Canis lupus familiaris: one gene and its partners. The protein of the gene in region 2 interacts with the protein of the main gene of each other region in a pairwise test. Links are inferred from orthologs where the notes say so. Each region holds a gene or a part of one and is shown on either strand. Other genes may lie near its edges.

Region 1 (4,291 bases), on a different chromosome or scaffold from region 2:
CTATTTTCAATGAGGTTCAAGAAAGTACAAAGCAGAAACAAGGTAAAAGCACTTTGGGCATCCTTGGGTACATGGAAACTTGCTGTTATCAAACCAAGGGACCAACTGCAGAGTTTGCAAGAACTGATAACAGCTTATTGAGAAATGCCAAACATTTGCATGGTACACGCTTAGGAAGCTCAGTTGTCCTTTGCACACTCCTTCAACCCAAAGAGCAAAAGATGTTCATAATGTTGACATGCTTGTTCTCCACTTGCTATCAACTGGGTTGTTGGTAGTTTTCACACTCAAAATGTAATACAGAACAAGTAACTTTACCACCCATGAAAACTAGTTTCCAATTAAATAGGAGAAGCCAAGTAACCCTAGTCTAATATCTTTTCCCCAAGTATGTCCAGAGCACTGATGGACTTAGAGGTAAAACAAAGTTACAGTTTAACACTGACGTTTAATGTGAGGAAATCCATGAATATAGGTCTGAAATCAACCCTTTGGCTAATAATGGTTTGAAATCATGAGTTAAATGCAAATTCAATCCTGCTATATAATCATCTTGCAACTTCAAGAACAACCTGTGGGAGCTTGTTGGGTTAACAGAAGGTTGAGAAGGCCAGTGTGCCAGCTTGCAGTTTTCTCTCTGCAGTTAGCTCACTTCTGAACGCCAACTATTGTGCCCTTTGCAAAAAGGATCTCCCAATATTTTCTCATCTTCACAATGCAAAAGCAGAGGTTTAGGGTGGCTTGCTGTCTGGGAGTGAGAACCCAAACACTCACAATAATCACTAATAATTCAAGTAGGATGAGATGCCTACAGATCTTTTCCTAATTTGAAATTTCATGCATATCAACTAGAAAAGCTACTTCAAAATTCAAATTGTAATGGAAAAATAACTACAGATACTACATGGTGCCTTTTTTTTTTTTTTTTCCCAACCTCATAGTGATAAAGACCAAACTGGTAGGGGGGGAGGGTGTAACATAATACTGCTTTAAGATTTTAAAAATCAGTCAGAAACCTACAGTGTTCAGGGAAACCAGCTAGTGCTCAGAAATAATGACCATTTATTAGATGTCCACAAAGAGTTATTGTAAAAAGAAACTTGTAAATATGTCTGGGCACTAGGTACTGAAACTGCAATGAGAGATATAATATGAACAATGGAAAGCATTTAAGTTTTCACAGATTTAAAACTAAAATGGCTTCCTGAAGAAGTGGCTCTTTGAGCTAGTTATGCATGAGAAGAGTTAAAAAGTGGCCTGATGAGGGATGCCTGGATGGCTCAGCGGTTAAGTGCCTGCCTTCAGCCCAGGGCGTGATCCTGGAGACCTGGGATCAAGGCCTACTTCGGGCTCCCTGCATGGAGCCTGCTTCTCCCTCTCCCTAAGTCTCTGCGTCTCTGCCTCCCTCCCTCTCTCTCTCTCTCTCTCTGTGTCTCTCATGAATAAATAAATAAAATCTTGAAGAAAAAAAAAAAAGTGGCCTGATGGTGAGATGCTGTGTAGGAGGGAAAAAGCCTATCTACGACAGGTTGGGAACAAGGTGAAGAGGAAGGAGCCCTTCAAAAAAATTAAAAAAAAAAAAAAGAAAAAAGAAAAACAACACATGAAAAAAAAAAAAAAAAAAACTTGTAAAGAATGGCGATTAATATCTACCGAGCACTTCCTATGAGCCTGGCCTTTCCCCTCTGACTTGGGTCCTAGATAGAAGCAGGGGAGGAAACAGACTCAGCAAAATAAGTCCCCAACGTCTAAGGTTGGTAAATGGATTAGAACTCAAATCTCACCACCACTTTATCTCGCCGGGCTCCCTCCACTACTTCCTCTTCAAAACGCACTCTGGGGCTCAGAGATCCAACTCTTAGGAACTGCACACTGAGAACGTCTGACACGTAAGTGTTTTCATCAGTGTATTTCACTTAAAAAAAAAAAATTCTAACATCCAGACACCGAGAAGCTGGATAAAACAAAGTCGGGAGAGAGGGAGGAAGGAATGCATTTAACCTAACAAAAACAGCTAAAAAACAAAAAACAAACAAAAACCCCCAGAAAACTAGCGGAGCACAATTAAAAATGGTTGCCCATCACTCACAGCAAGGAGCAAAGGTGGGTCTTACCTTCCTATCAAGGCCAGAAGGAAATCGGACTCTAACTTCTAACCTTTTTTTGGGTGGGGGGAGGGTGTTCCAATCGCAACCTAAGTTCTTGGGCGTGCCGGCCGGCTAGGGGACGGGAGGGCTATTCTGTTTTGCTGCGAGGGGCATTTCTGGGCAAGCGGAAGGGTCCACGTTGAGAGCAAGCGGAGAGCCGCAGGAACGGCCGTCGGAGGCGCGGGGCCCGCGGAGAAGCGGCTCCTCGTCCCCCAGCGCCCGCCCGGGGACGCCGGCGAAGCGGCCACACTTCGCGGAGGGGATCGGCGCCCGCGGGCTCGGCCCCCGGAACAGCCGCCCGGGGCCCCGCCGGCCCGCCGCGTCCGCACGGAGCGCGCCCCCCGCCCCCCGCCCCCGCCCGCCGCCGCCCCCCGGCCGCGAACCCGCCGACTCAGGCCGCAGCCCGGCGGGGCCTGGCTCCGGGTCCGAGCCCCCGCGGCCCGGGCCGGCCGGGAAGGCGCCGCGCCCGGGCCCGCGACCGTTACGGGGCCGCGCCGCGCCCAACGCCCGCCCGGCTCGGCGCTGCGCACCCGCTCACCTTCTTGGGGTCCGGGTTCGCGGCCAGGCGCGCCTGCAGCTTCTCCACAACTTGGAGCGCCGACTCCGCCGCCATCGCTGTCACTGGCGCGGCCTCCTCGCCGGAACTGGGCTCGCGTCGCGTCCTCGGGCCGCGGCTCCGCCCTCCGTGCATCCCCGGCGGAGACGGAAGCGACGGGCCCCTTCCGGGCCTCGGCGGCGGGGCGAGGCGGGGCGCGGGGCGCGGGGCGCGGGGGAGCGGAGGGGGGCGGCCGGACGCAGGCCACGCCCCCAGGGCCCGGGAGGGGGGAGGGGCGGCCTCAGGCCACGCCCCCAGGGCCCGGCGCGGGGGGGCGGGGGCGCAGGGGGAGGGGGCGGCCGGCCGGCTGCAGGCCACGCCCCCAGGGCCCGGCGCGGGGGGGCGGGGGGGCCGGCTTCCCAGCACCGGCTCGGCAGCCGCGTGGGCGGGGACGCGCGGGCCGGGGGGGGCTGCTCCGCTTCGGCCCTCGGCGCGGAGCCCCAGCCGAGCCAACCTCTCCGCCGTCGGGTTCCGACGGAATGCGGCTGCCGCGCCAGGCGCCGTCCTACCCTCGCCACGCCCCGCCTCCCACCTGTCCGCGGGGCTGGGGCCCGCCCACCCGGGTCGCGACCCGCCCACCGGGGGCCGAGCGCCGCGAGCGCAGGTGCGGGGTCCCTGTATTCCACCCTCAGTGCCACCCGGTGAGACGGGTTCAGTTATCCCCATTTTACAGATGAGGAAACAGGCTCAGGGAGCCCACATTAACCCGCTTGTGGTCACACAACAGGAAAGAGATGAAGCTGGCATCGGAGTCTAAATGGTTTACCTTCACCATGAGGGCACCTCGCTGAGTAGGTCGAGGAATTGAGGGCCAGAGGGAGGCAGGGATTTGTCAAAAGTCAAACAGCTTAGCTACGTGAGGCAAGATAATAGCCTTGTGTCTCGCTCTCCCCCAGAGCAGTGTCTGGTACCTAGGCACCAAATAAATTCATCTTGAGTGAACAGATGAATGGCTGTTTCCCTGAAGCAGTAAGGGCTGAATCAGACCAGCACAAGACATCATCCTAGAAGCACTAAATAATACTATATTACTAATAAAAGAACAAAGAAACCGTTGAAAACTAAAATTATCAGCATTGATTACATCTCGCTTGATTGGATCACATTAGATCCTAAGCCAATCTCCAGCAGCAACTTGGCGATGTACTTAGCCTGATCTCTCACCCTCTCACTCAATATGGGAAAGCCCAGAGAGCCTTCCAGATCCCAGGTCCTGACAAAGGGTGGGAGGGGAGAATAGTTTCTTCAAATGAGCTTTCATTCACTCACTGTGCTGAGAAGCCCTCCCTACTGTATTCCCACCACTCAGCTTGGTATCCCTCCCTCTGCAACTGACCCTTTTCAGGGTGTAGGTAGCCAATTTATTCTTCTGTCTTGCCACCGTGCTGTTCATCAAGTGCACTGACCAACCTGTCCAGCTTTAAATCTCTGCTGCACAGCACAATACAGATGTTATAATCGACAGTGGATTAAAAAGTCCATAATGACCCCTCACTTGTGGGGTGTAACAGAAAAGGCATGACGCAGGGTTTGAGGAGACTTGGCTTCT
Region 2 (3,774 bases):
CCTCATTCGTCTTCACATTTTAGAGGTAATCATAAATTGTCAGGAGCTAAAGCATTTGCATCAGTTCTGAGATTACTGCACCCCATGGTTTTTGTGGTTGAGTTTTCATTTTGTGACTCTTGTGAACTTTGAGGGTGAAGTGAGTTTGAATTAGAAAAATAAAGGCAATATAAGGATGAATTTTCCTCCTTAACCTCTAAAGACAGAGTTTTGTCCTGGTGACAATATACACCAGTCGTGTCACTTGGGGTTAAATTAACTTCTATGGGACTTTGGTTTTTTCCATACATATGACAGGAATTATAACAGGCTCATAAAGTTAGGAAAATTAAATGAGAAATTATTAAAGCACTGTAAAGGCAATTCAACACGGTACACATAGACGATTGAATTGGAGTCCAACATTTTGTTTGGCAGAAATTGAACAATGGGCTGAAAGAGGAGCCCCAGTGATTGAGCTGTTTCTCTTCTTATTACAGCTATCTCTGAAGGGCACAAATCAGAAAACACCATGCCTCCTAATAAAGAGGCCAGCAGTCTTAATAGCTCCCCGGCGGGGCTCATCTGCCTCCCTCCAATCTCCGAGGAGCTACAGCTTGTGTGGACCCAAGCAGCCCAGACCAGTGAGCTGGATGGCAATGAACACTTGCTACAAACCTTCAGCTACTTTCCCTATCCCAGTCTAGCAGACATTGCCCTTCTCTGCTTACGCTATGGGCTGCAGATGGAGAAAGTCAAGACTTGGTTCATGGCCCAGCGCCTCCGCTGTGGCATTAGCTGGTCATCTGAAGAAATAGAAGAGACTCGAGCCCGAGTGGTCTACCATCGGGACCAGCTCCATTTCAAATCCCTTCTGTCTTTTACTCATCATGCAGGGCGGCCCCCAGAGGAGGTGCCTTCTTCAATGCCACCTCCAGAACAAATGGGTCTTGGAATAGTGCCCCTGACTCTTAGTGAGCCCACTCAGATGAAAGGATTGAAGGTAGAGCCTGAGGAGTCCTCAGAGCTGCTGAGTCAGCAGAAGGCAAAGGAACCCCTGATTGCACCTGGCAGTGGGGCATTCCCCCACCAATCAGATTTTTGGCAGAATCTTCAAAGCAGTGGCCTCTCTAAGGGGCAGTCAGGCAGGGGTCCCAACCAGTCACATGGGCTAGATTCTGCTTCCTGGAACCACTCCACAGCTGTCCACCAGCCATGTGCTCGGGAAAAGCCCCCCCCAATCTCACTACTTACTAGTAGTTGTAAGCAGGAGTCAGTATCTAATATGACTCCTTCTTCTTCCTCTACCTCTTCTTCCACTTTCCCGGTACTGGCTAATGGAGCTACTGCCACCTCTAAACCCCTCCAGTCACTGGGCTGTATCTCACAGCCACTGTCACCCAATGAACAGGCACTGCCCCCACATCTGGAGCCAGCCTGGCCTCAGGGGCTAAGACATAACTCAGTACCAGGTAGGGTTGGCCCTGCAGAGTACCTTTCCCCAGATATGCAACGCCAGCGAAAGACCAAACGCAAAACCAAAGAGCAGCTGGCTATCCTCAAATCCTTTTTTTTACAGTGCCAGTGGGCACGGCGTGAGGATTACCATAAATTAGAACAGATCACTGGTTTACCTCGGCCTGAGATTATTCAGTGGTTTGGTGACACACGCTATGCCTTGAAGCATGGGCAACTAAAATGGTTTCGGGACAATGCAGTACCTGGTGTCCCTAGTTTCCAGGACCCAGCAATTCCCACACCCCCACCTTCAACCCGATCCTTGAATGAATGGGCTGAGACACCACCTCTGCCAAACCCCCCACCCCCACCGGATATACGACCCTTGGAGAGGTATTGGGCAGCCCACCAACAGCTACGGGAAAGTGATATCCCTCAACTGAGTCAGGCATCAAGGCTTAGCACCCAGCAGGTACTGGATTGGTTTGACTCTCGATTACCTGAGCCAGCTGAGGTGGTGGTTTGTCTAGATGAAGAGGAGGAAGAGGAGGAGGAAGAACTGCCAGAAGATGATGAGGATGAAGAGGAGGAGGAGGAGGAAGATGACGATGACGATGATGATGTGATCATACAGGACTGAGTCGAGGGGACTAGGGGAGGGAAGGTCTGTTACTAAAAGATGAACCAACTTAGTAACTGTTTAAAGAAACCACATTTTTTAAATTACCTTGTGGCAAAGAACTGAAAAGCTTTGTGTTCTTGAGGTTGGGGGATTGGGAATGTAGTGAGGGTGGACCAGGGACGATGACCATAGGACCCAAAGAGAAAGGTGGGGATTGGATGGGCAGAAATCAGGGTTCTAGTCTCAATGAAGACAGTGCTAAGGATCTGGTCCATGAGCTGGGAAAAGACTTTTGGTCTCTTCAAGTCTGCTGTTCTTTTCCCTTAGTGTACTATGGAGAGGCCAGACCTTGGCCCCACATCTATAGGAGGATTGGAAAGGAGGAGTAAAGAATTTTGATTCAGTTGATGATTACAGTGCATCCCCCAATCCCACCATTTTCCCTAGAATGTAAGGCTGCTTCGCACCTCTTCTCTCTGAGCACAAGTCCATGCCATAATATAGCTATGAGTCTTAGTATGTCCCAGTCTCATCACAAGTATTTCCTTAACGCACACCAACTTGACTGTATCTTTTACCTTCCTCGTTACTGAGTTGCACAGGTAGCAGAAAGTTTTCATTTTTGATACTGGGACCATCTTGCCTTGTACTTCTTAAATCTTTTTCCAAAATCCCCATTCTGTTCACTATTTGTCTCAGGGTAAATCTTCCCCATGGAGCTTGTGAAAAGTTTAATAATTGGGTGGAGAGTAATTTAGATTGGATATTTATTGGATGTGGGAATTAGGGGGAATGTCCTTTTAAAAAGTAGAATTAGGTTATGGAGAGATAGAGAAGAGGGATAGTTTCTACTGTTCAGAAGGTGGGTGCAGGTAGGTTCCAGGTTTGGTTTTACAAACCTGAGACTCCCTCCTGCCTAGCTTGACAGAGACTAATTTTTCATCTTTTTGGTGTTGGTTCAATTTGTGTCTGTAATTGAGACTTTTCCCTCTCTTTATAGGATCTGTCTTGGGGACAGAGGGACCCTGGTCTTTAACTGACTTGATTATTGATATCAACGGGTAACCATCTAGAAATAAAAGTGGAAGCCCCAAATTGCTAGAATAATAATAAAAAGGCCAAAAATAAAATTATTTCTCTCTCCTCCACTTTGCCACTTCCATGGTTTAGAGATTAATGGAGCCAAATCCATTAACATTCTGATTTAGTATACTCCTTTTTTTTTTTTTTTTTGTAAAGCAGCAGGATATACTGAGGTAGATTAAAAAAAACAAAAACTTGGAGTGCCTGGATGACTCAGTCGGTTAGGTGTCCGATTCTTGGTTCCCGCTCAGGTTATGATCTCATGGGTTGTGAGATCAGGCTCCATACTCAGTAGGGCCTCTCCATGAGGATTCTCTCCTTCTCTCCCTTCCCTGCTCACATGCACACATGTGCTTGCTCTCTAAAATAAATACACCTTTAAAAAAATTTAAAAACAAAAACTTTAAAAGGCAGCACATTAGTATCTATCACTGGGCGGATCTGTTGCCTGTACCTGTATAGCACAGGCTCTTGCCCAGAAGAGGTGTCTAGAAGTGCCCTTAAAAAAATTCAGAGCTCCAGAAAGAATAGGCAATCCTGGTTCAGCTTCAAGGTCATCCCCAGGACCTAATTTATTGCTGAGAGATGTTTGCTATCTTTATTCTTTTTCGATATTTTTGCTTATGGTCTGC
Region 3 (4,094 bases), on a different chromosome or scaffold from region 2:
CTGCAGGGTAGGTGCGGGGGGGGCGCAGGGGGGCTCGCGGGGGGGCCGCTCCGAGGGAGGACACTCGCGTCCTCGGCGGCCCGGCACCCGCGGCGGGGGCGGGGGCGGGGGCGGGGGCGGGGGCGGGGGCGGGAAGCCCGGGCGGCGCTGGGGGCCGCCTCTGCGCGGAGCGAGCGGGAGCCGCCGCCCGGCCGCCGCGTCACCGAGCCGGGGCGGGAGCGGGAGCCGGCGCGGGAGCGGGAGCGGGAGCCGGCGCGGGAGCCGGGGCGCGCGGGGAGGCGCCGAGGCCCGGAGCCGCCGCAGCCGCGCAGCCGCGCATCCGCCCAGCCGCGGGTCGCCGCGCCCCTGGGGCCCGGGCCGGCGGCGGGAGCAGCAGCGGGGGCCGGAGCGCCGCGGGCCGCCCCCACCCCCACCCCGCCCCCGCCCCCGCCCCCGGAGCACCGGCCCCGCGCGCCGCGGGCGGCGGGAGGAGCCCGCACGGCCCGGCCCTTTGTCCCGCTCGCAGCGGCGGCTCGGGCCGGAGCGCGCGGGCGGGCGCGGGTCGGGGCCCCGGCGGACTCGCATCGGAGCCCCGAGGCTTCGGGGGAGCCCGCGGGCAGGTCGCGGGGGCCGGCGAGGACGGCGGCGCGGGCCGGGGGCGGAGGACCGGGGCGCCCCCTCGGGTGGCCGCGCTCTCCTTGACGCCTCTCCCGCTCGGCGGCGGCTGCGGCGGGTGTCGTCGGAAGAGGGGGCGGGCGAGGAGCGCGGGGGCGGGGGCAGCGGAGGCTCAGCCCGCGGCCCGCGCCGCCCTCCGCGCCCGCGAGCCCCGCACCTGCGCGCCGGGGCCACCTGCCGCCGCCCGCGCCCCGCAGCGCCCCGCAGCGCCCCGCAGCGCCCCGCAGCGCCCCAGCGCCGGGCTCCCCGGGGGCCGCAGGCTGCGCACCGGGGCGCTCCGCCCGCCCAGCCCGGCCCGGCCCGGCTCATTGTGCGCCGCGCTCCTGGGGGCGGGGAGGGAGCCGCGCCGCCGCCGCCGCCGCCGCCGTGGTCGCTCGCGCGGCGCGCAGGGCGGGCGGAGGCAGGGCAGCCGAGGCGCTCGAGCCTCCCCGCCCGCCGGCGCTCGGGGCTCCCCTCGGCCGCGTTCCCCGGACCTGCCCGCTGCGCCCGGAGGGCCCCGGCACCATGGCGTGACGCGCCCCCGCGCCTCGGCCGGCCCGCGCCCCCCGCGCAGGCCCCCGCGCCAGGCCCCCGCGCCCGCGGCGCTGCGGACCCCGAGCACCCTCAGCAACCAGCCCGGGCGGCGGCACGACTCGCTCTCGCCAACCTCATGGGCAGTGGCTCCCGCCGGCGATGTGAGTAGCGCGCTCCTGCTTCGTGGCCCGGGGGGGGGGGGCGGGGGGCTGCGGGGACGCCGAGCGCCCGAGGTGCGGGGCTGGGGCGCCCCGGGGCGCTGTCGGGGAGCTGCCGGCCGGGCGCCCGCGGAGGCGGCGGGGAGCTGCGCGCTTGCGGGGCGCGCGGTGCCTTGGGCGCGGGCGCCGGCCGTGCGGGCGCCTGGGAGCCCCGGTGGCCCGGGCTGCCGGGGACCCTAAAGGGTTACATACTGCGAAAAGGGGAGGCGAGGAGCGAGGGCTGGGCGCGGGGGGCGCGGGGGGCGCGGGGAGCGCGGGTCCGGCCGGGCCGAGCCCCCGCCGTTATCCGGGCGAGGTGCTGCCTCCTCGCAGGTGCCCGAGGGACGGAGCGCCCATTTGGCCGTGCCCCCCCCCCCCCCACGCACACTTGTGGCAGGTCGCAAATGTCCCTTTATCTCGGCAGGTGTAGTATTACTGTTGGATGCCCGTTGGCTTGGGAAAGGCAATTAAGAGGATCTCGCTGCCTTTGGGACTGGAGGGGAAGGGTGGGGTTGGAGGGGGCTGGAGGGGGCGACGAGGGCGACAGGTTGGAGGGCCGAGGAAGCGGGGGAGCCACGGAGCCCGGGCAGTGGGGGTGCCTGTGCCCCCCCCCAGCCCCCGGAGCCGGGCAGCTCCTGCCCACACACCTCCTTTGTGTTGCAAAGGCGGAGCTGGAGACCCCGCGCGGTGCCCGGACCCACGCTGGGCCCCCTCCGCATCTCGTCCCCCGAGAGCCCCGAGGGATGCGGGACTCGTTGGGGATCCTCGGCGGCCGGGGGGGGGGCAGCGGGGGCAGGAGGTGCCCTGGGGCTCCTGGAGCGGCTCGCGCTCGTCTGCAGCCTCCGCGCGCGGGGTCCCCCCTGCGGGGAGCGGCCGGGGCCGGGGGCGCACGGGCTGCCGCGAAACATAGCGCGAGTTCGCAGGGGCGACGGCCGCACAGGTGCCTCCTCCGGCTGCTCCTCGGCCCGGGGCGGGGGGCGGGGGGCGGGGGGGGCGGCTCCGCCCGCCGAGTCCCGAGGGCGCAGCGCCCGGCGCACGGACCGGGTCGCTCGCGCAAGTCCCGGGATGCGCGATGGGCCTCGGAGCGCAGCCACCTGCGACTCCCACGCGCCTCTGGAAGTTCCCCTCCCCGAGGAGTTAGAGACGCCGCGGGCGGGGGCGGGGGGCGGGGCGGCGACCCCCAAGGGCCCGCACCTGCCCTCCGCGGCCACTTTGCCTCCGCGCGGGGAGCACCTGGGAGCCACCTGCGCTGCGAACTGGGTCGGACCCGACCCGGGGACCCGCGGCCGGGAGCGGTTCTACGTGATCCCGTTTTAACCTTGGCGACGCTTCCAAGCCCGGTGGAGGTTTCCGTGGCGTGGGCGGCGGGAGCGCATTCCGGCGGAGGCAGGACACGTGATCGCCCCGACGGGAGAGGCCGGTCCGGGCGCCCGACTCTCTTTGTTCCGGGCTGAGCCCCGCGCCCGCCCCCCGCAGCTCGGGCCCGCGGCCCAGGGGGGCTGGAGGGGCTGCCCCCCCGCGGGGCCCCGGTGGAAGCCAGGCGGTCCTCCCGGGGACGCGGCGGAAAAGTTCTGCAGCCCCTGCGCACGTGGGCTCCCGGCGCGCTCCGCCACCTGCCGGCCGCGCCCGGCCACCTGCCCCCACCGCCCGGGACGCCCGGGCTCGCTCTGCCAAAGGCTGCAGACGGGGGTCGGGGTCGCGTCCCTGCTTCCGAGCATCCTTCGGCGCATCCTTCAGCGCCCGGGGCGGGCTGGAGACGAGGGGGCGGGGGGGTAGCCCTAGTTCTCCGCCCACCTGTGTGTCGAGGTACCAGACCTGGAGGCCCCGACCTGGAGTCTCCGACGTGGTGGCCCCCCACCTGGAGGCCCTCACTGGGAGGTTCCCCACCTGGAGGTTGCCACCTGGAGGCTCCCCACCTGGAGGCCCTCACTTGGAGGTCCCCACCTGGAGGTCGCCACCTGGAGGCCCCCCACCTGGAGGCCCTCACTTGGAGGTCCCCACCTGGAGGTCCCCACCTGGAAGCTCCCCACCTGGAGGCCCTTACTGGGAGGTTCCCCACCTGGAGGTCCCCTGGAGGCCCCCACATGGAGGCCCCCACATGGAGGTCCTGACCTGGAGTCCCCGACGTGGTGGCCCCCACCTGGAGGCCCTCACTGGGAGGTTCCCCACCTGGAGGTTGCCACCTGGAGGCCCCCCACCTGGAGGCCCTCACTGGGAGGTTCCCCACCTTGAGGTCCCCTGGAGGCCCCCACATGGAGGTCCTGACCTGGAGTCCCCGCCGTGGTGGCCCCCACTTGAAGGCCCTCACTGGGAGGTCCCCACCTGGAGGCCCCCACCTGGAGTCCCCGACGTGGTGGCCCCCACCTGGAGGCCCCCACCTGGAGGCCCTGACCTGGATGCCCGCCCCCCTGACCTGGAGGCCCCGATCTGGGGGCCCCCCACCTGGAGGCCGCTGATTTCGTTTTTCCGCCCGTGTTGTACTTGCCGCCCCCGTGGGCTGAAGTCTCGCCCGGGGCGGGCCTGCATCGTGTCTGCGTGGCGCTGGGAAGCGCAGCCCATCCCCGTGACATATTGTGGAGGGAGACTTCTTTATACATTTTTTTATACTTCGCTGTCCAAGAGAGGATGGGTGCTTACCATGGCAACCCTTACATCCTCCATCACGTGTGCCTGCACATATGCGGCTTCAGAATTAGAAACGACTCCTTAAAGAAATAAGCCCGGTCCCGT

Evidence for each region. The genes of interacting proteins can lie anywhere in the genome.
Region 1: the proteins of HOMEZ (region 2) and ELOA interact in binary tests that used the Homo sapiens proteins (3 or more experiments, as listed by UniProt). The two-hybrid records come from large-scale screens. The link is inferred for Canis lupus familiaris from reciprocal best matches to the Homo sapiens genes HOMEZ and ELOA.
Region 3: the proteins of HOMEZ (region 2) and LRRC7 interact in a two-hybrid assay, tested with the Homo sapiens proteins (2 studies listed by BioGRID). The two-hybrid records come from large-scale screens. The link is inferred for Canis lupus familiaris from reciprocal best matches to the Homo sapiens genes HOMEZ and LRRC7.

The regions. Positions count from the first base shown.
Region 1 is NC_049223.1:75,138,132-75,142,422, forward strand, and holds the start of ELOA (elongin-A), read right to left. Parts: upstream 2,874-4,291; 5' UTR 2,839-2,873; coding exon 2,686-2,838; intron 1-2,685. UniProt on the Homo sapiens protein: SIII, also known as elongin, is a general transcription elongation factor that increases the RNA polymerase II transcription elongation past template-encoded arresting sites.
Region 2 is NC_049229.1:3,667,780-3,671,553, reverse strand, and holds the end of HOMEZ (homeobox and leucine zipper protein Homez), read left to right. Parts: intron 1-479; coding exon 480-2,077; 3' UTR 2,078-3,192; downstream 3,193-3,774. UniProt on the Homo sapiens protein: May function as a transcriptional regulator.
Region 3 is NC_049227.1:76,610,048-76,614,141, reverse strand, and holds the start of LRRC7 (leucine-rich repeat-containing protein 7), read left to right. Parts: upstream 1-1,221; 5' UTR 1,222-1,326; coding exon 1,327-1,328; intron 1,329-4,094.